Linked DNA regions of Pelodiscus sinensis. The protein of the gene in region 4 interacts with the protein of the main gene of each other region in a pairwise test. Links are inferred from orthologs where the notes say so. Each region holds a gene or a part of one and is shown on either strand. Other genes may lie near its edges.

The links.
Region 1: the proteins of NDEL1 (region 4) and MRC2 interact in a two-hybrid assay, tested with the Homo sapiens proteins (2 studies listed by BioGRID and IntAct). The link is inferred for Pelodiscus sinensis from reciprocal best matches to the Homo sapiens genes NDEL1 and MRC2.
Region 2: the proteins of NDEL1 (region 4) and CCSER1 interact in binary tests that used the Homo sapiens proteins (3 or more experiments, as listed by UniProt). The link is inferred for Pelodiscus sinensis from reciprocal best matches to the Homo sapiens genes NDEL1 and CCSER1.
Region 3: the proteins of NDEL1 (region 4) and KALRN interact in a two-hybrid assay, tested with the Homo sapiens proteins (2 studies listed by BioGRID and IntAct). The link is inferred for Pelodiscus sinensis from reciprocal best matches to the Homo sapiens genes NDEL1 and KALRN.

The regions. Positions count from the first base shown.
Region 1 is NC_134739.1:5,204,501-5,211,379, forward strand, and holds the start of MRC2 (C-type mannose receptor 2), read left to right. Parts: upstream 1-3,869; 5' UTR 3,870-4,228; coding exon 4,229-4,331; intron 4,332-6,879. UniProt on the Homo sapiens protein: May play a role as endocytotic lectin receptor displaying calcium-dependent lectin activity. Internalizes glycosylated ligands from the extracellular space for release in an endosomal compartment via clathrin-mediated endocytosis.
Region 2 is NC_134715.1:16,265,665-16,273,461, forward strand, and holds the start of CCSER1 (serine-rich coiled-coil domain-containing protein 1), read left to right. Parts: upstream 1-4,780; 5' UTR 4,781-4,935; intron 4,936-5,206; exon of another isoform or gene 5,207-5,263; intron 5,264-7,797.
Region 3 is NC_134717.1:10,318,280-10,325,857, forward strand, and holds the start of KALRN (kalirin), read left to right. Parts: upstream 1-4,570; 5' UTR 4,571-5,049; coding exon 5,050-5,122; intron 5,123-7,578. UniProt on the Homo sapiens protein: Promotes the exchange of GDP by GTP. Activates specific Rho GTPase family members, thereby inducing various signaling mechanisms that regulate neuronal shape, growth, and plasticity, through their effects on the actin cytoskeleton.
Region 4 is NC_134730.1:1,648,972-1,656,946, forward strand, and holds the start of NDEL1 (nuclear distribution protein nudE-like 1), read left to right. Parts: upstream 1-4,961; 5' UTR 4,962-5,043; coding exon 5,044-5,109; intron 5,110-6,353; exon of another isoform or gene 6,354-6,503; intron 6,504-7,975. UniProt on the Homo sapiens protein: Required for organization of the cellular microtubule array and microtubule anchoring at the centrosome. May regulate microtubule organization at least in part by targeting the microtubule severing protein KATNA1 to the centrosome.

The DNA.
Region 1 (6,879 bases), on a different chromosome or scaffold from region 4:
CCCCATCTACCTCCTACTTTATCTGCCTGCCTGGACTCTGCCCTTCCCCATCCTCCTGTCCCACCACAACCTGCCCCCACCCCATCTGCCCCTGGGGTCCTCCCCGCATGCCATTGGTCTCCTTGTCTAGTGGCTTGCACCTTATGGCCCCATTTCCTGTCCCCTCACTTCATCTGCCTCAGGATCTGCTCCCAGCTCCCTCTTTTCCTGGGTCCCGCCCCCAATCCTAGCCCCCTGCCACGCTATCTGCCTGTCTCTCTGCATCCTGAACCCCAGCCCATGTCCAGACTCCAGTCCACCTGTACTATCCCTGCATTGTTCCACCTTAGTATTGCATGTCCCTAGCTTCGGGGACCTTCCCCAGCTCTTCCTGCACCCTAGGGTCCCTTTGACACCCAGGGGGGTTCACTTGGGATTGGGGGGCAGAGCTCAATTAGGTCACGGGATGATGGAGCCGCGTGTCAGCGCCAGTACATGGTGCTTTTGGGGATAGATCCCCAATGCAGGGCCGCAGGTTCCTGACAGTAGGGAACCCAGAGGAGCCTCTCCGAGATTTGCTGCAAACGGTGGAGGGATGGGGGGGAGGGGGAGAGTCCCAAAGAAAAAGTGTCCAAAAGCCTTTATGAGGCCAAAGGCAGGCAGCCAAACTACAGGGATCGCTTCACCCAGCGCCGGGGAAGAGAGGGGCTAGTAATCAGAACTGCTTTGCTGTGTGTTAGGAATCATTTCAAAAGGGATGGAGAATAGGACAGAAAATATCTTATTACCTCTGTATCAATCCATGGTGCGCCCACATCTTGAATACTGCCTACAGGTGTGGTTGCCTCGTCTCAAAAAAGATCTCTTGGCATTGGAAAAAGTTCAGAAAAGGGCAACAAAAATGATGAGGGGTTTGGAATGGGTCCCGTATGAACAAAGACTGGGGCTTTTCAGCTTAGAAAAGAGGAGATTAAGGGGAGATATGATCGAGGTTTATGAAATCATGACTGGTGTGGAGAAAGCGAATAAGGAAAAGTTATTTACTTGCTCACATAGCATAAGAACGAGGGGTCACCAAATGAAATGAATAGGCAGCAGGTTTAAAACAAACGAAAGGAAGTCTTTCTTCACTCAGCACACAGTCAACTTGTGGAACTCCTTGCCAGAGGATGCTGTGAAGACCAGGATTTTAACAGAGTTTAAAACAGGGCTAGATACGTTCATGGTGGTTAGGTCCATCAATGGCTATTAGCCAGGATGAACTGGAATGGTGGCCCTAGCCTCTGGTTGCCAGAGGCTGGAAATGGGTGACAGGAGATGGATCACTTGATGATTCCCTGTTCTGTTCACTTCCTCTCGGGCACCTAGCACTGGCTGCTGTCAGAAAATAGGATATAGGACCTTTGGTCTGACGCAGTACGGTCATTCTTATGTGTCACATGCCCCGTACTGACACATCCCCACTGCTCTCTCTGTGCTCAGCACCTCAGTGACCTCCGTGTACCCCTCCATCACTTCTTTCCCCAGTACTGCCCGTTTCCCTTGTTCTGACCCTAACCCTGCACCAGCATTTTCCCCACCTCCCCAGGGCTCTTCTCATCCCCGTGTGCAGCTTCCCCCAGTCTCTGTGTCCCTCTCCCTCCGGAGACCCTGCTTCTAGCCCTAGTTCATTAGTTCTCTCTCTCCTGCTTTGGGCACCTCCTCTCTGGAAGGGGGAGCGGGAGGTGGCGGAGGAACTGCTGGCCTAGTGCAGGTGAACAGGGCCCGGGGGAAGCAGCCTGACTTGACTCTCTTGCCCCCAGTGAATTGTTATCAGTCCCGGTAACACGCTCGCCCAGCCTGCTATGGGTGCGCCCCACATAGTGCTGATGAGCCCATAGGGGCAGCCCTGGGCAAAGGGGGCAGGAGAGACACAGATGGCCCATGCCTGCCCAGTTTGCTCCCTCCTCATCTCCTCCAGCCAACACCGGTGTGGGAACAAGGAGGCTGGGGGTGCTGCAGCACTCACATGATTGACGTGGGGTCTTGGCTGCTGCCCCACGCCCAGGGTAGCCCCCCCTTGGCCCTTTTACCTCTGTCTGACTTCCCTTTCCCAGAGGCACAGCTCTGCTCCCAGCCCCAGCTCTGGAGCGGGGCTGGACAGAGATAGGGGGGCTGGCTTTCAGCACCCCCACTATTAAAAATATCCCAGCACCATTGACAGCCGAACCACCTGCAGCCCCCCCCCCCCCCCGGATGCCTACCCCAGCGCTGGTGGGCCAGCCTAGTTAGAAGAGGCCAGTTGAACTGGAGGAAAACATCCTGGGGCTGCCCCATTCCTAGACGTAAGGCCAGAAGGACTCATTGGGTCGTCTTGTGTGGCCTCAGGCAGAGCGAACCGTCTTCCATCGCTTTGTTCCTCAGGGCGACCCCCGTCCTTTACCGGGAGCCGTACTGAATAGGGATATTAAAGGGTGGGTATTTAACTAACCGAGTAGTCGATCGACTTTTTATCGACTAGTCGATAGGCAGCCTGGCTCCGTCCCAGCCTTGGGGTCAAACCCCGCTGTCGTTCTGCAATTGAAAATGCAGTAGGTGCCCGGGGGCGGGCTGCCTGGCTCCTATTGCCTTTTAAATTGCAAAGCCACAGTGGGGTTTGGTCCCACACCCAGCGTGAGCTGGGACTGAGCCAGGCTGCCTGCCCAGCCAGCAGCAGCCTCTGTCTGGGGGGGGTCCCAGTGAGGAGTTGGGACCCTCCGCAGACAGGGGCTGCTTCACGGCAGCAACGGGGGAGGGGAGAAAGGACAGGCGGCACTGTGGAGACGATGCTGGAGGGAGCCAGCTTATAAGGCTCCCCCCAGCACTAGCTCCCACTTTCCCTGCCCCTTGCTGCTTCAGATACAGAGGCAGCAAAGGGGCGGGGGGTATGCGAGTAGTCAGCTTGATGACCAGATACACACAGGCTCATCGGGTAATCGACTGCTCCCTTAATATCCCTAGTACTGAAATGTGTTCACACCAGGAAACCCTAAACTTTCAAACCCCAAACTGAAGTTCCTGCTAATTGGGTTCCATGGGGGGGGGGGGGAGAGATGAGAGAGAAATCCATGAGGGGGTAATCCATGGGTTCCCTAAAGTCTGAGCCCTTGGGCTCCCCGCGCCTTTCCCTTATTTCCATCCACCCTACTTGGGAGGCCACTGGCTGGACTCTAGGACTGTCCCTCCAGGGCAGGGAAGCAACATTAGAGGGTGTTTCATAGCTGGACGGGGAGGGGGGCACAACCCCGTTAGGACTTGAGTCTGGTCCCATCCACACCCCAAGCCCCTGGAGCTGCCTGGTGCTTTGCACTGGAGTTGGCTGGCCCAGCAGGGGGAACAGGCTACGGCTGGAGTCAGTTCACACAACGTGTCAGCCTCGGGGCAGGCCTCTCCAGACTCTGGGCTGGGGGTGGAGTCGCTCTCCCGAGCTAGGTGCAGGCCCAGCGTGTAGGTTTGAGCGCAGCACTGCAGAGCACCTTGTGTTACCGTCGCACCATGGTACCCCCAGGAGGAGGACTTGGGGCATTTATTCCTCCCGGGCAATGGGGGAGGAGACCGATTCTGCAACCTGCCTGATTAGCGTGCAACGTGCAAGGGATGAGTGAGCCGAAGTGCATTTGCTCGCCCTGTATTTGGAAAACCTGGACGGAATGTCACTGCCTCTCCCCACGGCTCCCTCGCCTGTCCACTTGGCTGACCCAAGCCAGCGCCCCGGCCCAGAGCTCCCACTGCAGAGGGGGCGTGGGGCGGCCGCGGGGAGGGAGGAATCCGGGACGCCCGGCTGGGCTCCCACGCGCTTCGCTCCACTCCCCGCCCCGAGCCCCAGCGGAGCAAGGCTGCGCCCTCCAGCTCCCCACGGCCCAGGGTGGCGGCCGCCCTGCCCAGCGCCGCCCAAGTTTGCTTCCAGCGCGCTGAGCCTCAAACGCTTTTCCCCCTTCCCTGCTTTTTTGGGATCAGCCCACAAGTGACGGGCTGCCCGGCTCTCCGGTGACGCAGTGTCTGGGGCTCTTTGAATCCTCCGCAGACAGGCAGAAACCCACTTTCCTGTGTCCTCCGCCGCCTTTCCGCCCCCCTCGCCCCAGCCCCTCCAGCGCCCTCCCCTCCGGAGCAAGAGGAGGGCAGCGGGAGAGCGCAATTAGCCAGCGCAAGGAGCTCTGCGAGGAGCGAGAGAGGGGGGAGGGGGGATCCAGCCTCCATCCAAAAAAACCCTTCAGCAAACCTCTCCCCGGGCATGAAACTCCCGGCGCTCGCCTGCTCTCCATGGCCACTGCTGCTGCCCTGCGCTTTCTTCTGCGTCCTCAGCCTCGCCCCGGGGCTCGGCGCCGCCCGCTCAGGTAGAGTTGGCGAAAGTTTTTCAAACTCCTACGCGCGGCGGGGGGAGGGGGGCCGGGTTCTTTGTGCCTCGGCGGCTCCAGGTCGAGTCCCCCCCCCCCCTTCCCCAGTTTTTTGAAAGCCAAGAGGAGAAGGAGCCGGCGGCGGGGAGCGCTGGGCTCTGCGGGGAAGGGCGGGCGCGCTGAGTGAAACCAGATGTGGAGGGCGCCCGGGCATGGCTAGAAGGGGGGGTGGGGGGAACGGGAACGAAGCAGCCGCGCGGCGCATTAAAACCACGAGCCCCCACCCCAGACAAATGCCCATCCTCGCAGGGTAGCGCCTCGCTGCTCCTGCGCCCCCCGCGACCGCACACCAGGGCCCCGCGAGGCGCGGCGCGCAGAGTTCTCCAGCGGGCAGAGTGGCTCGGCCAGTCCCCTCTCTGGGGCGCCTGGGGCCCCTCTGCCGTGTGGGTGACAGTGATTTGGCACGTGCCACTCGCTGGCCAGGCATCAGGACCTCGCTGGACCTAGGGAGCCCATCATGCCCTGGCGGACTCCGCCTGCCTAGGCGGCTTGGGGCTTATGCCTTGGATTCACAGTTCTTCTCCAAGTTGGCCCAAGTCCACCCAAGAGGGTGGGCAACTCCTGGTTTGTACCAGGCAGAAAGACTGGGGAAAAACGTGGCTTTTCCAGCTCATATTTTAAAGACACAAGCTCTGAAATGCAACAAGTCGGCAGAGGCTGAGGAATTGCCAGGGACGTGGGGGGAGCAGCGAGAGGGGCCGGGGGCGGTTTGGGGCAAAGAGATCCCCAGGTCAGAGTGGATGGGAGTCAGAGCCGCTCTGGGACTGGAACCCTTCTGTCTCCTGAACGGGAGATGCTTTGTTCTGAAAGGAGTTGATACCTTTAGGCCCCAGTTCAACCAGTCACCCCCATTCAGCCAAGTACACTAGTGCAGACTCAGGCTCCCTTGGGTAGCTCTGCAGCACTGGGGCCTTGCTGGAGACTTGGAGGCTGTGATGTTTGTTGTAATTTCTCATGATAAAATGATTATTGTTTATCTTGGTAAAGACATGACCGGCCAGATGGCCTGCGGCGTTCAAGGCCTCCCATGGAATAGCCATTTCCACTGTTTGGTGACTGAGGATGTGACTATTTATGTGAGCGTGATTGATGTCCATTTAGTTGCTTACTTTAATTTGGCTTTATTAAAAAATAATAGGGCTTATTGGTCTAAACCAGCAGTTCTCAAACTTTTTGGGCTCCGGAGCCGTTTACATGCGTAAAAATGTATGTGGAGCCCCAGGGGTCCACTGATTGTGTGTGTTGTACCTATCGATGGTTCCAGTTTGTCAGCCTCGCAGAGCTCCTGGAGATGTCTCACGCAGCCCTGGGGCTCCACGGAGCACAGTTTGAGAAACACTGGTCTAAACAAACGTAAGCCTTTAATTTAATGTATTGGAGTGCACTCGGGAATAGGGATGTAAAAGGTTACCTGGTAAGCATTAGCCTTACCAGCTTGCTTATCTGGTAACCAGTTAACCAGAGGGCTGGACCCAGCCAGAGCAACCCCCCCAACTATGGAACCCCAGCCCTCCCTGGTTAATCATATTGTTTAACTGGTTAACTTTTAATAGCATACTTGGGGCGACGAGGAATAAGGGATCTTTCGGAAAAGGCTTTATTTTCCGAAAGATCCGCGTCTAGACTGGTGCTTTTTTCCGGCAAAGCTCCGAGTTAGAAAAAAGCGGCAGCCATTTTTATGCAAATGAAGTGGGGGGGATTTAAATCCCTGCTTCATTTGCAATTGCTATGTGTCTTAATTTGCATCCCTTTTATGGAAAAGGGATGCAGTCTAGACACAGCCTAGGTGACTTGCCTAAGGACATACAGGAAGTCTGTGGCAGAGCCAGGAACGGAACTCAGTTCCCCACTTTGACCCCACGTGGGCAGTGGGTGAACCTAGGGCTGGGGGAGATGCCTTCTGCTGAGATGCCCTGCCCCCCTCCCCACACCTGAGCACTTGTGGCCTATGCCCCCGCTCCCTCCGGAACACAGGCGGCCCCAGGGGAGGCTGGCAGTGCAGAGCTGAAGCCCAGGCAGGAGGCTGAAGGATCTGTGCTGAATGGGAGGTGGCTGGGGGCAGGGCCAGCCAGGGAGTTGCCTGCCCCTGCCTATGATACCTGCCGTCTATGTGTAACCAAAAGACCAAGCCTACACTAAGTAGGGCCCAGAAGGCCGCCCTGTGTAAAGCCGGTCACCCGGTGCTGCTCTTCACATTGATCTTAATGCTGATGGCTGAAATTGGGGTGGCCAGAGATGTCCTTGTGCTCCAGTGCACCTTTAGCTGCAGCTGTGAGGAAGGGGGAAGGGCTGTGTGCGGCGCTGTATGGAGGGCTGGGTTTATAGGGAGGGCTTTGGCTCAGGGCAAGAGCCCGATTGCATGAATTTCTCCAACTATCTGTGGTGTTTGCAAAACTGCTTTGAGTTCCCAAACCTCCCTCCCCATCACTGAAACCCTAGTGATCTAGGGCAAGAAAAATTAAATGGGAAGGCAACCCCGCCCCAAGGG
Region 2 (7,797 bases), on a different chromosome or scaffold from region 4:
GCACCGGAATAAATTGCCTAGGGACGTTGTGCAATCTCACTTAGGGTACGTCTTGACAACATGCCTCTGTTGCCAGAGGCATGTAGATTAGGCTACCAGGCATAGGAAAAGAAGCGGTGATTATTTAAATCGCCGCTTCAATTGAAATTTACCTGGCTGCCACGCTGTATCCTGGGTGGTCTACAAATGCCTTTGATGTCGACACCCGTGCGTCCAGACTACTGCGCTGAGCTGACAAACAGCTGATCGGCTCAGCGTGGCAGCCAGGTAAATTTAAATTGAAGCGGCGATTTAAATAATCACCACTTCTTTTCCTACGCCTGGTAGCCTAATCTACATGCCTCTGGCGACAGAGGCATGTTGTCTAGACGTATCCTTATTGGGGATTTATGAGCAGGTTAGACAAATACCTGTCAGGGATGGTCTAGATCAGGGTTATTCAATTTTGGAAGCCCCGGGGGCCACAATGATACAGCACAAGCTTAACTTAAGCGTGGCTGCATATACATGCAAACATATATGCAAATAGCTTTTCACACTGACAGGCATGAATATAAAGTTTAAGGCAAGACTACGGAACACATAGGCCCCATTTAAGCCTGTTCTGCTGAAATTAATGAAAATGCAATATTTACCCAATTTCTTCCCATATAACAGCACTTTTAATGAGCAATAACAGTCCAGGAAGTTAACTACTAAAATGCCTATCAACAGAAGACCATTGTATTGACTACTTTTTTGTTTTGGCTCCCACCAACGGGCCACATGTTGAGCCCCGCGTAAACCTAAACTGTACAACAGGCCGTAAACAAAGGGGCGATGGGCTGCAGGTGGCCCATGGGTCATGTGTTGAGTAGCCCTGGTCTAGATGGTACTTGGTCCTGCCATGACTTGACCTCTTGAGGATCCTTCCAGCTCTAGGATTCTGCAGAAACCAAGTTGAAAGGTTTTTAAGGAAATCCCAGCACAAAGGACCGCAAGAGCACTGGCTCCACATTCCTGTGTCAACACCTACCATAGAGAATGTCCTGGCTCTACCCTAGGCTAAGTCTTTGGTGTTGAAGAACCTACAGTACCTGTATAAACCTCAGTAGTGAGAGCACCATAACATTTGGTGGCATCCCTAGGCAACACTAAGCCTCCTTCTCCTCACGGTCATGAAACCACATTCTCCACATCCACAGGAGAGAGTTCTCTACTCAAAGTCCATAGAGAATTTCCCCTGCAGGGCTCACCAGGACTGGCACTGGGTTTGCCCCATCCAAATCCATCTTTGTTGGGGTTCCTGGGGTCCATCATTTTACACACTGAGAAGCTGGTCTCCATCTGACATATGGAAGCAAAGCAGGTCATTGTCCCTGCTGGAGTACCAGGAGGAACTGGAGATAAGGGCACAGCAGGCTTTGTGGCACTGGCTATCTTTTTGTTCTGTGTTTGTACAGTAGCTAGCAGAAGTGGGGCTCTGAGACACTACAATAGTACAAAAACAAACAGCTACCATTCTGTATCATCACCAAAGGAATGTTCATCTTTATCTCCTGTTGCTTTCACTGGAGTTAGCAGTAACTTCAGTTTAAACACAGCTTTGGGTTGGTTTAGACTAAGAGTAAAACAAGCTTATTAACAAAGATGCAAGTTTTAAAAAAAAAGGGTAAAATTAAGGAAAAGGTGATTTCTTACTTCCATCTGAGCCAATTACCTCACCATGTTTCTTCCTAGAGCTACCTTCAAACTGGGAAAGAAGAAACTGTGGATGTGTCCTGAGCTTTTTATGTTGCCTTAATAGCACCAAATCTTCCTGGTTGTCGCCTCACCTCTTTGTAGCTATTTCTACCCATCTAACAGCCAGAGACCATCTTGTCACAGAATCTCCAAGTGAATCACATAGTGGGTCTCCACTTGCTGTCAACTAGTCGGCAAGCCTCTCCCTCCAAACACCAAAGCACGTACCACCCGATTACAGGCAGCATCTTCCTACTGCATCAGGAATGTTCATGTTTCTGATATTTGCAAGGCTTCAGTAGGGAGCCACAACATCTTAAGGAGCCAAGATACCTGTAGGGTAGGTAACCATTCTGTACATTAGTAGAGAGGCAGCTAGCAAGGAGGGTGGTATAAAACAAGGCACAGGGTTAGGAATTGATAAAGCAGACAAAAGGTAGAATGAGAAGAAAAGCACCAACCGGAAAGGAGAGGAGCTGAAAATGATTATTTTATTAAAAGCTTTCAAAAAAACACTTCAGTTGCTTAGTGAGTGTCTTTTTTCTTGTGAAATTCCATATCCCAAATGTAGAGTTCTCTTAAAATGTACATATATTAGTGAAAGAACTAGATTGGCCTGGTTTTCCAGTGACATCATTGAAAAATTGAGGACAAGAGAATTGAGTTACATATTTATGCTGGTGTCCAAAGAGTGCACATCCTGCTGCTTCCCTGCACCTACCCAACAGGTTTTCAACCAACATTCTTAAAGTGGAGGCTCCTTGATGATTAATCATATTATGACTATGGTTTCTTTCATTCACATACAACATGATTAACAGTTGGTAAAGCTGCCATTATCCTGTCCGACCTTTGCTGCTTGCTGTTGTTAGTCTGCCTGTCTCAGCATACAGAATCCAAGCCTGTGGTTGGAAGCAATATCTTGAAGAATTTGTGGGAGTGCTGCTTAATAATAGGTGCTCATCTTCCAGGGCAGAAGACAAGTGGATTTACAGCAAAGTGCTAGAAAAAAATAAGATTAACCCCTGAAAGGCATTTAGAGTGTTTTTACTTAAGTGTCAAGAAGCATGAGGACAGGGAGGCAGAATAGGAAATAACTGGGGGCTGATTAATGAAAACACTTAATCATGTGGCTAACTTTAAGCACCTGCTGGAGTACTTTCCTGAATTGGGACTTGATTCCTTCTAAAAATATCTGGGCATTGTATACTTTCATTTGTAACTAGTGAATCACAAAGAAATGTTATAATTTTCAAGGTTTTTCCAATCTTATAATACTGGTGGAGGGATTTCTAAGCAACTTCTACCTCTTTCTACATTCCAAGTTCCATTACTACACATCCTGTATAATATGCTCCAACCTTTCCTGGAAGATTTACTGCAGAATTCATTATCTACTCCAGATGTATTATTCAGCACTATCAGGAAGAGGGAACAGAGCAGTAGCAATAAGACAGCAGAAAGACATCAGGGTTCTTCCAGGTTAAAATTCATTATCGCTCTTTAGAATAGAGTCCAAACAAATAAATGAACTAGCTATGTTTAGAAACAATTACATATTGTTGAACCTGCTTGTCTAGACAGCAGTTTTTAATCTGGATCAATTTGTTGCACAAAGAATTGATAATGTGTATGTGCTAAATCCTGCAAATGTTCACTTAGACCACAATGGGGGTTTTAGCTAAGGTAGATCAGCCTACATAAGGGCAGCAAGATTTGGTTCTTTTGCTTTAAAAATACTTTTCCGTTGTTGATCTTTAACTTACAGCAATACATTAGGCATGAAAGCCTAGCATAACTGTAGCAACTGGCAAAACTCTCATCCTATTTCCCTAAAGTTGGATTTGAAAATACATCACTCTTTTGCAGTTTTGTCTCAGCTCCAATAACACAATGAAGAAATGTCCAAACATAAATCTTAATCTTTCAAAAGACTTACCTATATGTATAGCATTAATTGCAACAGCATTACTTGTATGCATAAAGCTATGGAGGTCTATAAACCCTTACTCATGTAAGGGCTCCTTGCTCCCGAGTAGTCCCATCACAGGGGTTTTGAACCTTTTGGGGTCTACAGACGAAGATTTCCAAAATGGTCTATACCTCCATCTGAATTTTTTTAGGCATCCGCAAAGGGGGAAAAAAGTTGAATACCACTCCCCTATTGCAATCCATGGAGAGTAAACAAGCATGACTCACGTGAGCAAGTTTTGCAAAGTAGAACCACTCCATTTAACAAGAAACAATTATTTTTTGGGGGGGAGGAAAAAAAGGACCAATCTCCATTATGCGGCAGGCTAACCACTCCAGCTTCTGTTTGGAAACAAACACCTGTTTGCCGACTTCAGCTCCAGGGCGTGAATCCAGCATACCTGGACTAACTCCAGAAGACTTCCTCCAGCAGCCATGTCTGAATTTCCCACCGTGTAACCCAGGCTCCTGGGCTGGCAGCTAGCGTCTTAAATACAGAACTCGGCCGTGTGTTTAAATTAGGCTCACGTGCCTGGCTAGTGCTAGGTGTGCCGTATTAGCTGGAAAATAAATCACATAGCCCGTGCCGAGCTAAAAAGGGGGGCAGGGCGGTGAACCCGTTAGCTACACTCCAGGCATAAACAAGACTTCTCAGCACTTAGCGAACGGGAACGCACCGGAGCGGGACTGAAGCCCTGGCGGGGCGCCTCGCTGCTAAGGCGGCTTACGGGACACAGGTCACCTCTCTGCTGACTCGGAGCCCGGCGACGGGAAGTTGCCTAAATCCTTGACAATCCCTCGCTCAACCTGCGCGGGCGGCTTGTGTGTGGCTGCAGCGTCCCGCCCTCCGCAGGGCCTGGGAAGGCGGAGTGGGCCTGGGAGCTGCAGCCCAGGGAGGTGGCAACACACACAGACGCGCTTGGAAGCGCCTCCCCTGGTCCCTCCCTTCTCCTCGCCCTCCCCGCGCACACACACAGCCGGCTGCCAATCCGTCCTCGGCTCGCTCACCCAGCGACAACATGCCTGCTTGGGAAGCGGCGGCGCCGGCAGGGGAGCAGTGCTGGCTCCCGGAGGATTATTAGCTCTGAACCAAGGGGTGGGGGGGTGGTGGTAGGGGGGAAGCCAGCACGCGGAGGACTGGGGGGGGTGCAAGGCAGAGACTCACCCTGCCACCCCCTTCTCCCAAAGAGAAACCAAGCTCTTAGTGCACTGGAGGAGCCCAGAGAGCAGCAGCCCAGCCAGGTAGTAAATATCCTTCATGCCCCGCTCACGCCTCTGCCTTTGCGGTTTGCTCTGCTCCATGCCCAGGGGCTGGGATTAGCCTGGCAGGTTACCCACACGGTGCAGGAGGAGACGGGGGAGCCAGCCCAGGCCTTGGTGCTGCTGCTGGCTGTTTGGGGAGGGAGAGAGGGGGCCTGTCTCTCCCCGGGATGGGAGGGTTGCGGTTGCATTTTGGAAGGGGGAGTTTCCTGAGGGTGTTGCGTCCGCGCCCCCTCCCGGGTGGTGAATGCAGAGAGGGATGGGAGGCAGGGAAGCGGGACATTGCTCCTCTCCGCTTCGGCTCCTGCAGGTAGATCCGGGGCCGGGCAGGCAGGCAGCAAGGCCAGCTGATTGGGAGGGGGAGGAGGGCAGCTGAGCCGGCCGGGGCCCGGGGCATGGCTGCACCAAGCGGCGCAGGAGGAGGTAGATCTGCGTTGCCTCTTCGCGCTGATCCCGGGGATCGAGCGTGCTTCGCGCCGCAAATCGGCAGCCGCGGCTGGGATTAGGCAAGAGGACAAGTCGCTTTGTGGAGGTTCAAGGACTCTTGTGGGTTGGCAGCGAGTGAGAAGACGCAGGCGGTGCTGGCAGCCCGCACTCTCAGATAGGCAGCTCCCCGCTTTGCTGCACCTAAAGGGGACCCGGGCCGCCTGCACCCGGTGGAGGCAGCTTGCACAGTGTGGGGGCCTGGACCTGCCAACAATGCCACATGTCACCTTTTCTTTTCCCCTGGGACTCTGCTCCCTCAGCCAGCGGTTCGCAAGCGCCTGGCAGGCAGCTCTTCTCTTCCCTAGCTGTCCGCAAGAGGGGGGCAGCCAGGCCAGGTGGCGTTTGTGGAGGGGCCGTGAGGAGGAGGAGGGAGATGGTGACATTACTAGGAATTGTTTATTTTGTGCTGGCAAAGAGCTCTCCGCTGCACAAGACCTCACGGTTCCTCATGGCTCTGACCTGAAGTGTGAGAGACCCAGAATAGGCAAGAGGTGCTGGGAAACCCAGAAGACACGGCTTTTCCTCTGGCGCTGTCAGAACTCCTCTTGCTGGCAGTGGAGTTATTCCTGACTCTTCCCCATTGTGTGAATGAGATGAGAGAAAGGCTCTAAGTTTGGCTTTTTCTGTCTTTTTTTAATTTTTAATATTTATTCAGCTGGGGGTTCCAGGAAGAAGGGGTTTGTTAGGAGAGATTTGAATGAGGAGGTTGTGGTGGCATTGGATGATGATATGTGGCATATCTAGCTGGCCAGTCTTTGAGTCATGAACTGAAGGATGCTACCCATCCCTTACTGAATTGCACAAGGTAACTCCGAGTGGAAGAAATGGGATGTTTATAATTACTCAATGGGCTTGTGAAACTCTCAAGCTTTCCCTTAGTATATCCTTATGTTCCTTTTTTCTTATCTGGAAGGGCGGTCCTCAGGTTGGTGCGCTCCTTGGCTTTCCCTGAGGAAAGGTTCTAGGAGTTGTCTCACTGAGGAGTTGAGAATAATTTTCCTTTATGGTGGAGAAGAGACGCTCTTGAGAGATCAGTCATGTACACTTTACAGCTCTCTCCCTCCCTTCAGCTTGTCCCTGAAAAACACAGCGGAGAAACTTAAAAACACAACAAATAGTCTGGTAGCACTTTGAAGACTAACAAAACATGTAGATGGTATCATGAGCTTTTCTGAAGTGGGATGTGCCCATGAAAGCTCATGATACCATCTACATGTTTTGTTAGTCTTTAAAGTGCTACCAAACTATTCCTTTTTAAAAAAAAATTTATCCTGTACAGACTAACTCAGCTATCCCCTGAAGCTTCTGCACAGTGGAGAAAATAATCACTTTTGTCCACCAATTCCCCTATTCGACATTTTCACAGCTGAAATGTCAGGAAGAGAAACTTAAAAATCTTTCCTTGAAGCCAAATCTGTGCCAGACATGTTTTTCTTTTTGGTTTATTATTGCACTTGAAGTGTTAAAAATCTCCTGAGGCAGTAGGGGAAAAACTAGGAAGGTTTACTATCTGCTTCTCACAGTTCCTCTTGTTCATACTTACAAGGGGAGGGGAAAGGAACATGTTGCAAAATCAGTTAAAGATTATGTAAAAGTGAAAAATTATATAAAAGTGAAACCTGAAAATATTTAGATAGCAAAGACATTTCACCTAGTTGTTTGGAAGCTTTATATTCTCTTTTTAACTCCTTATGGTATATGTAACTGTGACTATGCAGCAAAACACAATTAAAATTGAAGTGTCAGGATTTGTAATTATGTACATAGGAGTATGCTAGTGAGGATAATAGTGCATATGTATTTCTTGTGTAGGAGTTGCTTTTACTCTTGTTATTGAATCATACTATCGTATGGAAACCAGTAGCCTGACAAACTTTAAAAAAAAATATTTTTAAGACATCTAAATGACAAGGGATTTGATTAAATTCTGAGTTATACACCAGAGGAAGGCCTCAGGTAGTGAAATGGCCTTCCAGAGGGACTGCTGTGTTACTACAAGGTGGCTGTGGCAATTCTCACTCTGTGCTAGGTGCACAAGTAGTTAGTACAGTTCCAAAAGTAGTTAGCACTGCCAGGGAAGTAGTGAGGACATGGGCACTCTAGCCTGTTCCCACTGAAGACAGTAGGAATTTGAAAAAGCTTCACTGGTTTGAATGAGAGTAGGACTGAATGTGTGCTCACTCATGCAGTTCAGCTTGGGCACCATTCCCATTCAAATCAGTGGGAAACCTGTGTGAGTAAGTGCCCTGCAGGATGGAATCCCCATCTGGCTCACAAAGCACCTGCATAAGGCCCTCTTATGGTAGGACTGTGTAGAGTGTCAGAGGACCTGAATTTCCCTGCATGATGCAGATCCTG
Region 3 (7,578 bases), on a different chromosome or scaffold from region 4:
AGGAGTAAATGGAGGACTGCAATGGTACTGGTGCCTAAACCAGGTGGAGTGGTCAGGTTCTGTGTGGACTTCAAGAAGGTGAATGCCGTCTCACAACTTGATGAACACCGCGTGCCTCATCTAGATGAGCTGCTGGAGTGGTTGGGCCACACAAAGTTCATGTCTACCTTTGATCTAGCCAAAGGCTACAGGCAGATCCCTTTAACGCCAGCATCAAAGGAGAAAATGGTGTTTCCAACACCCTTTGAGCTGTTTCAGTTTACCACAATGTCCTTTGGCTTGCATGGGGCAACAGCCACTTTCCAGCAGCTTATGAACAAAGTACTGGGTCCCCACAATACATGTGCAGCTGCCTACATTGATGTCATTGTGGTCTACAGTAACAGTTGAGCAGAACACATGCAACACCTAAGCCAAGTTCTGAAGCCTTGGCAGAGGCAGGCCTTACTGCAAATCTGGCCAAATACCACTGGGGCCAACACGAGGTAAAGTATCTGGGTGACACTGTCAGCAGAGGACAACTCCAGCCAGTGATAGATAATGTGCAAGTGCTGCGAGTCTACCCCACTCCAACCACAAAGAGGCAAGTGCGGCAGTTCTTAGGGATAATAGGATATTACCAGTGCTTTATACCAAATTTTGCCACCCTAGCTACCCTTCTTACGGACCTCAAGAAGAAGCCCCAGTCTCATCACATTGAGTGGTCAGAGGACTGTGAAGTCGTCTTCAAGACCTTGTCTGAGCAGATGATCTGGGAACTGGTGCTCATCCAGCCAGACTTCAACAGCCTGTTTAATCTACAGACAGACACCTCAGAGACAGGTCTAGGAACAGTATTATCACAAGAGGCAGGAGGGGAAGAACACCCCATTTTGTATCTGAGCCATAAACTGTTCCCATGAGAGGCACATTACTCCACAATAGAAAAGGAGGCTTTTGTGGTGAAATGGGCAGCAGAGATCCTGAGGTATTATCTTTTAGGGAGCTGATTCATGTTGGTTATAGATGACACACTGTTAAAATGGTTCCACACCATGAAAGACACCAATGTCAGAATCTTGCGCTGGTACCTGTCACTCCTTTAGGCATTTCAGGTTGCTCACCAGACTGGAAAAGTCCATGCTAATGCCGACTTATTTTCATGGGCCGGGGAGTTTGGGGAAGAGGTGCCCCCCCAAGAACACCACTTACGGGAGAGAGTATGTGATGGGGTGTACCAGTCCTGCACTGGGAAAGCTGGTCTTAACCAGTCTCACCTGGCTGAGGAAGCCCTGACCCTGTAGCCCTGCTGGGGATGCTTAGATTGCCACCTAGGTATTAAAAACCTGGAGAGATGCTCAGTCTGGGCTGGCTGCTGAGGAGGAAGGAGGCATTGTCTGAGCTCCTGCAGGAGAACTACCAGAGGGACCAGCTCTGGAAACCAGCCAGCAAAACACCAAAACCACAAAAGAGGGTATGAAGGAAGGCCAGCAGAGACTGGTAGGAAGTAGCCCAGGGCGGGATATTGTTGCCTGTGGCTCTCTGCGTGTTGCGGTGGGATTCCCCACTGCGAGAACAGTGGACCATGCCACTGCTAACAGGGCCTTGGGCTGAGACCCAGTGGAGTAGGGGGGTCCTGGGTCCCCCTACCACTTCCTGAATCCCCGAGCTGGAGGGATCCAGCACCTATTTATTACTGACTCTGGATGCTAGGCTGCACTGTCTTAATGAGAGGGGAATTTACTAGAAACTCAGGCCATTAGGCCGTGCTGCCCTGATGAAAGGGGTGTTTACTAGAGACTCCAACTGCCAGGCAGCACTGTCCTGGTTGGAGGATTGTTTACTGTAGACTCCAGCTGCTAAACCACACTCTCTGGGTGAGAGGGGGATTTACTACTGACTCTGACCACTAGGCTGCACTGCCCTAGTGAGAGGGATGTTTACTAGAGACTCCAGCCATTAAGTCGTGCTGCCCCAGTGAGAGGGGCATTTCCTAGAGACTCCAGCCATGGAGCCACACTGCTCTGGGAAAGGGTCGAGTGTATTACTGATATTTTTTGAAGAGCTGCATTGCAAATGTTATTTAAGCAGACTCTGAGTACCCACTGTCTTCACATCAAGTCACTGCTTGTGAGTCACCAAGAGATATGAATAAGCACTAGAGGATGAAAGAAAAAAAATATTTACCTTAAAACAATCAGAGTTCTTTGTGATGTGATGTCCATATGTATTCTACAGCCTGCTCTCCATCCTTGTTGCCATAGAATTCTTTCATATCTGGATTATGCAGTAGCACAGGAGGTGAATAGTGATTAAGCTTGCTCTAGTCTGTGTACACTTGGCATGGGAGCACAACCACCAAGTGGACACTGCTGGCCAAAAGATTCCAATCTCAAGTTCATGGGATACATGTGCACCAAGAATAGACTACATATGGACAACACTTGTTGAAGAATTTCAGGTACTAGAATAGGGGTGAGCAATAATTTTTGCCTGGGGGCCACTTCAAAAATTTCTGAAGTAGTCCCAGGCCACCCAGGAAGGGGTAGGGCCTAAACAGAAAGGGGCAGGGCCTAAATGGGAAGGTGCAGGGCTACCCTACTCCCAGACCATGATTGATCTGCGGGTGGGGAGAGCCCCTTTGCCACCCTTCCCACTAGGCACCCATGCTCTAGAAGAGGCTTGGCATGCTCTCCCACCCCCAGGCCAATCAGGACCTGGGGGCAGGATAGCGCAGGAAGTCTCCTCCTGCCCTGCGAGGTGCCACAGGCTCCTCGCAGGGCCAGGGCAGAGTGAAGGAAGCTTCACGCCGCTCCCCTGCTCCCAGGCCCAGATTGGCTGGGGAGCGCACAAAGCCTCCTCCGCTCTTCCCGCCACTTGGCGGGCCAGATCCAGCCTGTGGAGGCCCTTTTGCCCACCCCTGTACTAGAAGGTACATTTTCTTAATCATGATGAAAGGTGCTGAAGGCATGAATAAGAGTTTCAGAAAGGTTTGTGGGCAATGTCTTAGGGATTAGAAGCAGAATTATAGCGTTGAGCAATAAAAGAGGCACAAGAAAGTTGTCAATTTTGGGATGAAGTAAAAACATAAGGTTTGAATTGAACAAGAAGATAGACATGGTGAAGTTTCACTTATAATTTATTTTTTTTAGGGCTAGGTCCCCCCTAAACAATAATAAAGAATAGTACCTTGTACCACAGATAAGCTCACTGATTTCAACTGTCACTGTGAGACAAAATGGCTAAATCTGGCCTTAATGAGTAAATTAACAGTTTTGGATATATTGTGTGGCTAAGGTGGAATGAGTAGCTGATGAGGTTGAGAATGACAGAGCGAGGAAAGCTTTTCAACAAGTGGCCCTATGTTTCACATTATTATCTGATTACCTGGACATATGCTTTTCATCTTCAAGGCATTTTACAAATAGTACATAGTTATTCCTCAGAATACCCCTTTCAGAGAATTGTGTAAATGTTATCTTCATATCACAGATAGTGAAACTGTGGTAGAGAAATCACCTGACAACTGAACCAATGTCAGACTGGGAACTAGAAATGAATATATCCCGGCTTCCTGTCCCATTCCCAAACTACAACTCCATGCATTCCATCAAGCCCAAAGGCTCCTCACAGCTGCAAAAAGCAGAATGTGAAAGCACCTGCAAGAACATACAGAGTTTCAAATATTTGTTTCAGAAACCTGACATTTCAACATCATGTTATATAGCAGTATACAGAAAACCCCAGTTTTGTTACTTGACTTTGCACTTTTTATAGATACCTACCATTGCAATGTGCCTCATTGCTTTTAAATTTGATATGAGAACAATGCAGATTGATGACACAAATAGAGAGGATAGCAAAGCAAAGCACCCAGGGACAATCAGTGAAATCCACTTGGAGGCTTAAGTGCCCATATTCAGACATGCACACACATGCCTATTCAGGACCATGGTACACTCAGAAATGGAACTTGAAACAGCATTCTGTATGCTCTTAAGCACTGTCATATTGTAAGCAAAAATATTGTTTAAAAACCAATAGGTACTACAGTCACTGCATTAATTGTCAACCTTACATATTTCTTTGAACTGAAATTCAACAGGAGCCAACCATTCTGTGGTGGACTTCATTTGCCTGACTGTATGTTCATACACAACCAGTGGGTTTTTGTCTTGGTTTGAATCTGCCTGGAAGGAAAAAATGTTCATTGTGATCTGAATCTAGGAAGGAAAGCTGTGGTGAATGATCCATATAGTAAGGACAAGTACAAGCATTAGAGGTGTCTGTGTGTGTCTGTGTGTAAAAGCCAGTCACGTGAGATGCTAAGAACTCGGTAGGAGAATATACTATAGGGCACAATCCTGTATTGGCTGGGAGGAGTGGATTAGATGATTTAAGAGAGATGGAAAGAATGGGGAAGAAGAAAGTCCCCTGATCATGTAAAGATAAAGCTCCCACGAAATGCACAACACACACCCACACAGCAGCCTCCCTCCCCTTTCCTTTTCCCATTTAATATCCACATCCCAGTTTTCCTGCCTCCCTCAGGAAGTCCTGACTGCCAGAATAACCCAGTCTGGTTGGAAGGATCATTAGGAAAACAACAATAGCTGGTGTGATACTAGCTCGAGCGGCTGCCGCTGCTGTAAGGAATTGAACTGTCATCTATGTAAATACAGCTCTGTTGGAGTCACATGTGCAGCAAGGGGCATTGTTGGCAAAGAAGAGAGGAGGAGGAGGGGAGGGGGAAGAGAGCAGAGCAGGTCTGAACAATAGAGAGAGGAGGGGGGTTGGCAGAAAGCCTGCTTTTGCTGGAGGTGTTGGGGGGAGGACTCCAAACCCCACACGACTGGCAGGCAGTGGGAGCAGCTGCTGCTAAGCCCAGGGAGCAGCAGCCGCAGCAGAGCTCATCAGACACCATGGAAGGGATGATCCCGGTGGTGCACGGCTGGGCTAGCTGCTGAAAGCGCCTCCAACCCTCCTCCCTCTCTCTCCCCCTTTGCTTCTCCTCCTCCCTAACTCACTGGATATTAGCAGCAGCTGGGCTCGCCTCTTCTTCCCCCAGCCATGAATCCCGCAGAAGGGGCAGCGGAGGAAGGTGCTGTTCCCGATTCCGAGGTGGATGCTTTTTTCCGAACAGGTAAGGCAGGAATGGGGAAGGGGAGATGGAGGAGGGAAGGGGCTGCCACCGCCTGTCTGGCCGAGAATGGGATGCGAGAAAGGGATTGTTTTGCGTTGGCACCATCCTGGAGTGGATGGCCGCAGGGAACTCGCTGTCTTGCTTTGTTTGGGGGCATGGACAGGGTTGGGGTCCGCTGGGTGAAGGATTCTGATTCTCCCCTCTTCTTGTTTATATTTTGTTCATTGTCTATTTCCCCTCTGCTCCCCCTCCCCCTTCTAAGCCTTGGTGCCAGAGTGACATACACTAAAAGGAGAAGCCCCTTCTCTGGGCAAAGGCGCTTTGTGTTAGGGTTGTTTTCAAAAGCACTTAGCGAATTGACTGGGGATTGGAAAGTGGTGGCTGTCAGTTTCAGAAGAGAACCAGATTTATTTCCCCCCTCTTCTTGTTTCGTTTCCATTTGTTCCCTGGCTTGCTAGAAAATGATGCTGCTCTTCGCTTGTTACACAGGAATGGGGCGATCTTAGATCACTTTTTAAATGCAAGAGGGAAGGGATTACACATCCTCCCAGTTCTTGCATGTTACAAGATCTTAACATTGCAGGAAATGTAACCTTACTCTCTCCCTTCCTCTTCGGAGATTGGAAACACACAAAAGCCTCTCTAAGACGTTTGTTGGTAGCTTGTGAGAACTCCTCACACAAAAAGACATGGCATTTGGTCTTAAACATGCTTTCAAATTGAGTTATAGGTAGGGATCTGTTGATGGAGCTAGAGCTCCAATTTTAACCATCCTTAGGCATATTGCCATAGTGTATAACTGCTTCCTGGATCCTGCCACTGTCAGGTTGGAGAATAAGGGGGGAAAGGTCAGTAAATAATAATCACAATTAATTATTTTGAAGAGGAGTTACTTTCATCCCTCCTTCAGTCTAGTAAATTTGTACTTTCACTTGAAAACTATAAATATATTATATGTGCAAGTTCTGTCATACCCTTCCATCTCAAACCACCTTTGCAATCCTTTAAAAAGGCTTTGTTAATCCAGTGCCATCAGTCATAGATAATGTGGCAGGGTACTGGACATTAGGGATGCTAGAAGTCAACACAGGTCATTACTGATGGGAAAACTGGTGAGCATATTTGCCTGGGTATCTCATTCCTACTGAAGTAGACTTTCGTTAGAAGGATTCAAGAACACATCCAATTGTGTATCAATGAGTAGTGTGAGAAATAAATGTCCTCCAGTTTTAGGGGACAATACTATTACATAGTATAAGATGAAATGTGACTCTGCTTCAGGCCATATTCTTTAAGAAATGTGTCTACACTACAAACCCACATAGGGTATTATGAGTTCGGTGTGCCTTATCTTTGAAACATAATTTTATGTAGGATCAAAGCCCCAGGTGAAATAATTTATGGAATTCATTTTAATCCCCTAGGTGGAACTTTAAGAAAGTATTACATACTACTTGTTGGATTTTTAATTAAAATTGCAAAGGATTAAATGCTCACTCATAAGGGTATTGACCCTGGTAGTCTGGATTTGACACTTACTGCCACAGCTGTTTGTCAGGGCTTTGCTTTTCAGCTGCCTTCTTCCTTCTACCTGATCATTGGTTATACAGATGGTTTCAGGCTCCAGTTACAACAAATCTTATAATCACCAAAACTTTAAAGGAGTTCATTCCTGCAGATCTGCTACAACTGTGTGGACTGAACCATGTTTATGTGAAAATGCTTTGATCTGGAGGATAACTATAATAAGGTCTGACTTTGCATATCTTGTGATCCATTAAGCCAATGAATATTTGCCTCCTGATACTCTGCACGGCTACAAGTAAAGCATTATAGATTTCCCATACCCCAGTGGTGTAAATGTTCTTGGGCTATTGAAGTTTTGGAGAATGCACTTTAAAAATTAGCAATTTTTCTTTTTAAAAATGTATGTTGCTTCAGGACTCTCCCCCTTAAAAGCTTAAATCATTGCATAATGACACTCAATTTCCAGCATAAGAAAAGATGATAAAATTGAATTCAGAGGGACTGTTCACATTTGTGCGCAGATTATAAAAGAAATCAGGCTAAATAAGAAAAGAACAAACACTCAGAGTCCCATGATCAAACATTTTCCTGTTCTGTGTCCTCCTCCTGAAATTTCATGCCTAAGGAATAATGAATATAACTTTGTTAGGTATCCTGTGCATTTAATTTAAAGGGTTTCTGGAGGTTTTTTGGCATTACATTTTATTCAAGGAAGTGAATAGTTTGCATCTGAATGATTCTATACCATCATGTGTCCTCTCATAACTATGATACTGGTTCATGTCTGTGAATTAGTAAACAATTTTTCTTTTAAACAGTATCAGTATTTTGTGCATATCAGGTATGTTTTAAAATGAATATAAATAACACAGATAAACTGAAATCCAGGCATCTGATGGTAGGCCTGACCTTAATGAAACTGACTATTT
Region 4 (7,975 bases):
TAATCGTAGTCTGTGGTTACGTATTTATGTGGAGAGAAGATTTCTGAGAGCGGAGAGCTCTGATGGACCAGCCAGAAGCATAACAAGATCCGGGGCTGGAAGCTGAAGATAGTCAAATTCAAACCAAAAATAAGTTACAAATAGAACAAAACAAACAACCAAGCCACCACACGGAGAGGGCGATTCAGCATTGGGACGACTGTCCAAGGCATGCGGTAGTTTCTCCATCAATTGAAGTCTTGCCAGGGCTGGTCCTAACCAATTGGCGGCACCGGGTGACTGCCTGGCTCGCCCGTAGGGTTGCCAGATGGTTTAAAAAAAATACTGGACCAAAAAAAAAAAAGGGTCAGGGAGTAACCAGGGAAACCTGGGCGGAGGATTCAGGAGGTCGGGCTGAAATGTGATCGTGGCCCGTCCCTAAAACAAGCTCTGTCGGCAGCCCCTTGAAAATGGTGGCCCTGGGAGACCGCCTAGCTCGCCCGCCTCTAAGACCAGCTCTGCGTCTTGCTACAGGATCCGCTGTGGTTCACCCAGACGTTCTGAGCTTGTCATTGTCTGACTTATTAGGCCATCGTAACAGTCCCTTACGGCTTTCAAATGTACTGACCTAGTTTACATAATCTGTTCTGGGACCCCGGCGGGCTGGCAGAGATTTGGAGCATTTGTGCAATTGTTGGCACCCCACAATAGTGCGGATCATCATCCATTAACCTTCTGCCTGTTTCCAGGGATGCTATTTGGACCCGGGACATGTGGGACCTTCCCTCAGAGAAGCGGGCCCGTTGAATTTGACTCTGTGTTAAATACGTGTTGCTGGGGAAGGCTCAGAGAGCTGCGCTGCCGGCCCTGGAGACCCTGACGTGTGGGAACAGTTTGGCAGGGGCAGGAATAGTGCCCGGTCCCCACGCCCCCTCCTGCCCTGCCCCGCCCCAACCAGAGATCCATTTGGAGCCTGGGTCCCTGAGCCTGCTCCTGCTATTATCCGCCCTCGTCACAAAATCGCATGGGCCCAGATCCACTTCTGTGTCTAAAAGCCTGGTTCAGTCACCGCTGTGACTTACAAAGCCCCGCACTAGGCTGCCCTGAACTGTAGGTGCCCAGCTGGCACCGACCTCTCCGCTCCTGGGCGTGCGCGTTGCTGCCTCCTTTTAAGCAGGTGGCTGTAGCCTAGCTCCTGCCTCAGCGCAAGAGCCATGCCCAAGCTGGGGGAAGACAGGTGGAGGGGCACCCCACTCGCCTGCAGGGCCTGGGCTGGGCAGGGGCACTCAGAGGCCACCTACTGGCCTTGGTCCCATTCAGAATCTGGCCAGTGGAGGGGAAGCAGCACCTACCTTCTAACCGAGCCCACCGGTTAGACCTGGGCTCGGTTCCCCCTCTGCCTCATGGGGAGCCGAACACGATTATCCTACTTGTGCACCTGCAGCCACTGAGCTGGGGGACGTGCGGCGGGGAAGCCGGGTTCCTGCAGGCTCCCTTCCGTGGCCAGGCTCCATCCCTCTCGAGTGCAGACAGCACAGAGGGAGGGATTCGACCCAGGTCCCCCACGTCCCAGGTGAGTGCTAAAACCACTGGGCTAAAAGTTACGCAGAGAGGTCAGCCTGCTCCCCCTCCCCCGCTGCTACAGGAGGAGCAAGGCAGCCGCCTAATTCCAGAATAGGATCCTTCCCAGGCACGTATTGCTAGGAGGCAGGGACGTGACATTATATGCCACGTTCGTCAGGGATCTCATGATGACACGGCCATGGCATCAGTACGATGCATTTTGTGTAAGACAGGTGATGGGAGGTGTCACGGGGGGCTGTGATTCGTTGATTCTGCCTATTCTGTTTGTGTGCATGTGTCACTCCAGTCCCTAGCGTTAGGAACATCGACACTGGGTCTGTATGAAAATTGTGCTCACTCTGGGCGACACCCACAACCAGCCTTTCCGGGGCGGCATTGAAGAAGCCAGACAACGCTGACGGCCCATCAGCAAAGCCAACGGACTCTGGAAGAACCTCACCTTGCTATGACTGTCCCAGACCCTGGTACGTTATGGCTCAGCAAGGTACGCAAGGACTCTGGGCATCCATCTTGGGGTGGCAACGTTTCCCACAAGCTGAGTTTCCAGCAAAGGGTTCCTGCATGTGTCCAAGCGATATAAGGTGGAGAGAGACGTCTGAGGCTGTTCTTTACTCCCACACCAGAGGCCTCCCCAAACCCCTGAGGAACAAAGACTGACCTGGGGGCAGTGTGGGCCCCCAAGCTAACGGGTTTCTAGCCCATGTATGAAAACCTGAGGATTCCAAGCTGCAAAACTAGAGAATCTACAGCCTGGTTCTATCCTCAGCCAGGGCGAGAGTTTGCTAATTCGTATCCTATCGTTCCAGTATCCTAGGCCTGATTTGCGTTTTTACTAAGTGATCTGCTTTGATTTGTTTGCTGTCACTTTTAATCCCTTAAAAGCTTGGGTTTTAATCATTAATACACGTGTTTGATGTGCTAATCCAAACCAGCACATTTGGAGTGAAATGCTGGGAAATCTGAGCTCAGGGGGGCGGTTGCATTTTCTCTCCACATTGGGAGTGGGGGAACTCTATGAGCTGACACGGTACAATTCCCTGTGCGGTGCCACATGGCATCATGTGGGGTCTATACTCCAGTGAGGGGTCCTAAACTGGGAAGTTGTAGCCTCTCTATTGCCGCGCCATGCAGTGACTGGTCAGGGGCCTGCCTGTATTGCAGCTGGGTGTGCCCCTACCCGTGTGACCGCTGGAGGACGTGTAGCACCAGGAGCAGATCTGCAGCTTTTCACAGCAGCACAGTATGAGAAGCAGCTCAGGCTGGTGGGTCAGAGGGCTCAGCAGTACTCCAGCTCCTGGTGGCACCCCAAGGCCAACCTGTCCCAATGGGCACCTACCTGCAGCCCAGCCTAGGTGCCGTACTCCAGGGGAGGGCAAGGTTTAGCACACACCCGTCATTGGCATCTCCCGCTGTCTGGCTGAGGTAGCCCCCTCCCCAGCATACTGGCTTTGGTGGGTCCCATTCGTGGGTGCCTGTTTCTTCCCCATGCACTGAGGCCCTAACTCAGCTTTGTGGATCACCGAATGTTGGTCCTGTGATGGTTTAGGTCCCACGATGCTGACTCAGGCAATGCCAAAGTCCCTTTGTGGATCCAGGCCCTCATTTCTCAGTGGCAAAGTTCCCCCCCACCTAGGGATGCTGTGAGACCAATAGGTCAAGGCGTGCGAGGTGCCCGGATATTCCGGACACAGCAGCCGTGCAGTGAGCTAGAATACGGGACTTGGGGGGAGAAAGACAAAAGACTGAGGGGGAGTAGGGAGAAGGGTGGGGCATGCTGGAGAAGGGGTAGAGAGGGACCAGATGTTAGTACACAGCCGTATCGCTACGCTATAGGTTCTCTGACTGGGGAAAGGCTTAGCATAGGCTGGCTGGAGCTGAGTGGCAGACAAGGGCTGCGCAGCAGGAACGACAGTGAAACCGCCCAGAGCCCTTCTCATAGCCTCCGGGAAACACGAACCAAGCCCCCCAGCATCCAAGCCAGACAGGGAACCATCTGCTGCATGTCGCAGAGCAGGGAACTGGAGCATAGAGCAGCTAAGTGAGACACACACATCCATGGGCACTAGTCCTGGGGCGTATTAAGACAGATCCTAGATCAGTAAATCCCGGTGGCTCTGCTGCAGTCAATGGAGCAGTCACTGAAGATCTGAGCTGGTCAGGGCAGGGTGCTGCGTGAACCCACACCGAGCCACGGTCCCTTCCCTGAGGGCCCCAGATCAGCAGCTCCCAAACTTTTTACGAAGGCAACCCACAAACTGTGTTTTTGTTTTAATCACCCTCATCGCGTGTCACTTCCCCAGAACTGCAGCCCTATTCCTGGCCCAGTCAGAGGGGAGGCCACGGGGTAGCCTGGAGACTGACCTCACCCCACATGCAAGCCACAGCAGCAGCTCCCATCCTGTGGGACTGAGCCCAGGTCCTGTTTCAGATGTAGTACCAGGAAGTGCTAATGCAGGTTGAGCGTGGGCCAGACTCGCTCTTCAACTTACCCCCCCCCCCCCCCACTTCCCTCTACTCTGGGCTGGGATAGTGTATATTTACCTAAATCAGAGCCCAGGGATGGGGTAATCTGGTCTCGACTAGGGATGTTAGATATCGGTTAACTAAATAGTCAATTAACCTCATGAATTCTTATCAGTGACACGGCTAGTAGATAGCCCCCAGGGGCAGCGCCAGCAGCCAGTGCGCTCTGGCCTCACTCCCGAAGACCTCCCTGCCACTCGTGCTGCTGCCTCCACATCAGAGGCAGCAGTGCAGGGAGTCAGGGGGTCCAGGAGGAGAGCTGGTTTAAAAACCAGCTCCCCTCGCGGACTGGCTGCCTGTCGCTTTGTGCTGCTGCCTCTGATAAAGAGGCAGCAGCGTGGGGTGACAGCAGCCCGTCTAGGGGGGTGCCTGATCTCCTGGACCTCACATGAGCATGACCAGCCGGGCCGGGCCGATTCGCTGGTCTACGCAGCGCCGCGCCCCGGGGCGGGGACCTCTGCACGGGGCCCCCCTGCAGCCCCCGCGGGCCGGGCCGGGGCAGGCGCGCACGGAATCTATTAGCGGCCCCGGGGCGCGTGCGGGGGGCGGGGCTGGTCTCCCCTCTGGGGGGCGGGGGTCAGCGCCCCCCCCGTGCACGGGCCTCTCTCAGCCGATCGCTTCCGCTGTTCTTCCCCGCTGCGCCCAGCGCGGAGCCGCCTTTGCACCCGGGCCGGGCGCCCCCCGCCGGCTCGCCCCTGAGCCGCGCCCCCAGCGCGAGGCGGGGCCTGGCTACCACGTGACCGGATCCGGGCGGCTCCCTTTCCCGATTTCACCCGCATTTCCGGCCCTGCTTCCCCTTCCGCGGGGCGGGGCGTAGGCAGCAGAGCCCGCCGCACCCCGAGCCCCGCCTCCCCATGGCGCGTCGGGGCCGCGGCCCCGCCCCTCGCTGTGACGTGCGGCCCGGCCCCGCCCCCGAGCCCGCCGTCACAGCGGCGGCCCCGCCCCCGCGGAGCCCGGATGAGGCAGGCTTCGGAGCCGGGCAGGCAGCGGGGAGATGCTGCCGCCGTGACAGGGCTGCGCGCGGTGAGTGGGGGGCGCGCGGCGCGGGCGGGCTCCGGGCAGGGCGGGCCGGGCACGCGGGGGGGCTGACGGGGAGCCGCCCTGTGGCGGGCCCGGGGCTCGTGAGGGAGCGCGGGGCCCGGGGGCGGGGGGCGCCCGGCGGGGCCGCGGTTCCTGCTCCGCAAAGCGCACGGGATTGGCTGTAAACTGACAACGGGGCAGGTCCCGCCCCCGCCTGCCATTGGCCGGAGCCGGAGCCCTGGCGAGCTGCGATTAGTGACGGGGGCGTCACTCACCGGCGGCCCCCCCGGCACTGCCGGCCCCTCCCCGCGCCTCTGGCCGGCCCCTCGGCTGGCGCGTGGCAGGGGGGCCGAGTCGAGGGCCTAGGGCCCCAGTGCGGGCGGGGCGGTGATCAGCGGGGATGTGGCACCTGAGGGCGCGGGGTCCCCGGGGGGGGGGGGGGTCCTTGGGCTGCCAGGCGCTGAGGGCGCGGGGTCCCCGGGGGGGGGGGGGGTCCTTGGGCTGCCAGGCGCTGAGGGCGCAGGGTCCCGGGGGGGGGGTCCTTGGGCTGCCAGGCGCTGAGGGCGCAGGGTCCCCGGGGGGGGGGTCCTTGGGCTGCCAGGCGCTGAGGGCGCAGGGTCCCCGGGGGGGGGGTCCTTGGGCTGCCAGGCGCTGAGGGCGCGGGGTCCCCGGGGGGGGGGGGTCCTTGGGCTGCCAGGCGCTGAGGGCGCAGGGTCCCCGGGGGGGGGGGGGTCCTTGGGCTGCCAGGCGCTGAGGGCGCGGGGTCCCCGGGGGGGGGGGTCCTTGGGCTGCCAGGCGCTGAGGGCGCAGGGTCCCCGGGGGGGGGGTCCTTGGGCTGCCAGGCGCTGAGGGCGCAGGGTCCCCGGGGGGGGGGGTCCTTGGGCTGCCAGGCGCTGAGGGCGCAGGGTCCCCGGGGGGGGGGTCCTTGGGCTGCCAGGCGCTGAGGGCGCAGGGTCCCCGGGGGGGGGGTCCTTGGGCTGCCAGGCGCTGAGGGCGCGGGGTCCCCGGGGGGGGGTCCTTGGGCTGCCAGGCGCTGAGGGCGCGGGGTCCCCGGGGGGGGGGTCCTTGGGCTGCCAGGCGCTGAGGGCGCAGGGTCCCCGGGGGGGGGGGTCCTTGGGCTGCCAGGCGCTGAGGGCGCAGGGTCCCCGGGGGGGGGGGGGGGGTCCTTGGGCTGCCAGGCGCTGAGGGCGCAGGGTCCCCGGGGGGGGGGGTCCTTGGGCTGCCAGGCGCTGAGGGCGCAGGGTCCCCGGGGGGGGGGGGTCCTTGGGCTGCCAGGCACAGGGACTGCATGATGTTCAGGGCCCACAGAGATGGTGCGGCGGTTGGAGGAGCTGGGGCTGTGCTCACATGACTTCAGCAGTCTGGGCAGCTGAGATGATGCTGACTACAACTGACTGGTGGGTTGGGACAGAGGCTCCTGTCAGCTGTCTGTGAGAGAACCTGCTCTTAGTGGATTTTTCTCAATGGTTATCTTTTGTGATGCTGAATGTGGTTTGTCCCTGCTGGTTAGTCACCTTCATGTCCACTAAACCTATGGTTAAAGCCCACTTTCAGGATTACTTTTTTTGGTGAAGGCAATCCTCAGGGCCTGGAAAGCACTGTTGGGCAGTAGGGTTGGATTGCCTTTCTCTCTCTGTCTTTCTCTTTCTCTCTCTCCTATATATTGCTTGCCAAAAGTGGTAGTCTCACTGCTGTGTATGGAAAAAGGGAAAGGTCTGCAAAATGTTTGCTGTCAGATGGTTGCTAGGATACATAAATATGCTCATGATGTCAAATGCACTTAAGTCCAGTGAGTCATTGAAAATACTATTTCTGTTCCTGCAGAGAAAAGGGCAGGTTTAGGCGTTAACTTGGTCCATTCTTCAGGAGAGACTTTTCACCAGGAGAGGGATGCCCTGAAAAGCTTAAACTAAGTATCCCAAATCTGGTGTGAGGCACGTGAAGGCAGTGGGAACAAGCAGCTCTTTGCTGAAACCCCAAGGAAGGATCCAACTTCACAGCTTCTTCCCACACACACGTTGTGCCGTATTCCAACAGTCATTCGTCCGCCTAGCTAGGGCTCTTGCAGTCTCTGTCACTGCTGTTCCTTATGAGAGATTGCTGGTGATTGAAATTGCCACTTGTCTTCCTCCTCCCCTTCCCTTTGCTGGAGCATGCTGCCTCTGCAGTGCATATTACACTCTGCTAGTCAAGGAATCTTGTGATTTCATACAGGTGAAGAGATTTCTGTGCCCATCTCTGGGCAGAATGTTTGTATGTTGTAGTATGCACTTGTGGTTAGAGTTGTGTGTCTGAAATAGTCAGTTATAATCGATTTCTGATCTCTATTTAATTTGTCCTTGTTCAGTTTAAAACATATAAAATTCCCTTTTTGATTTGTGCAACTATATACTTAAATTGCACTGACATAACTACAATAGATCTGTCACCTTGGTTGTTTCTGATCTGTACACTGTAACTATGCTATTAATATGAACTAGAGGATGGTCCAGTTTGGATAGAATGAAAATTGTGCTTTAAAGGTCCAGTTCACCTGATGGAAACAGATTCTGGAGTAGTCTGGAAAATAGCTCCTGACGATAACAGAAAATCTTCATTGTTGCAAAAGGGGATGTCTTGTGTCCACAGTTACTTCTGTGTTCTCTGTCTCTTGTAAATATTAGCTGCTTAAAGATTGACTTAGACTTGTGGGTAGAAGATCAACAACTCTTTCGCCCCCAATAACACAGTCAGTCACATGTTTCTTGCTACAAAATAGTTAAGAATCCCTGGTGTACTTGGCATAACAAACCATTCTATCTCCAACTTCTCAAGGTTAGAGAAATTGTTCCCTTAATAACTTTTTGGTATTGATATCCATTTGGGAGGT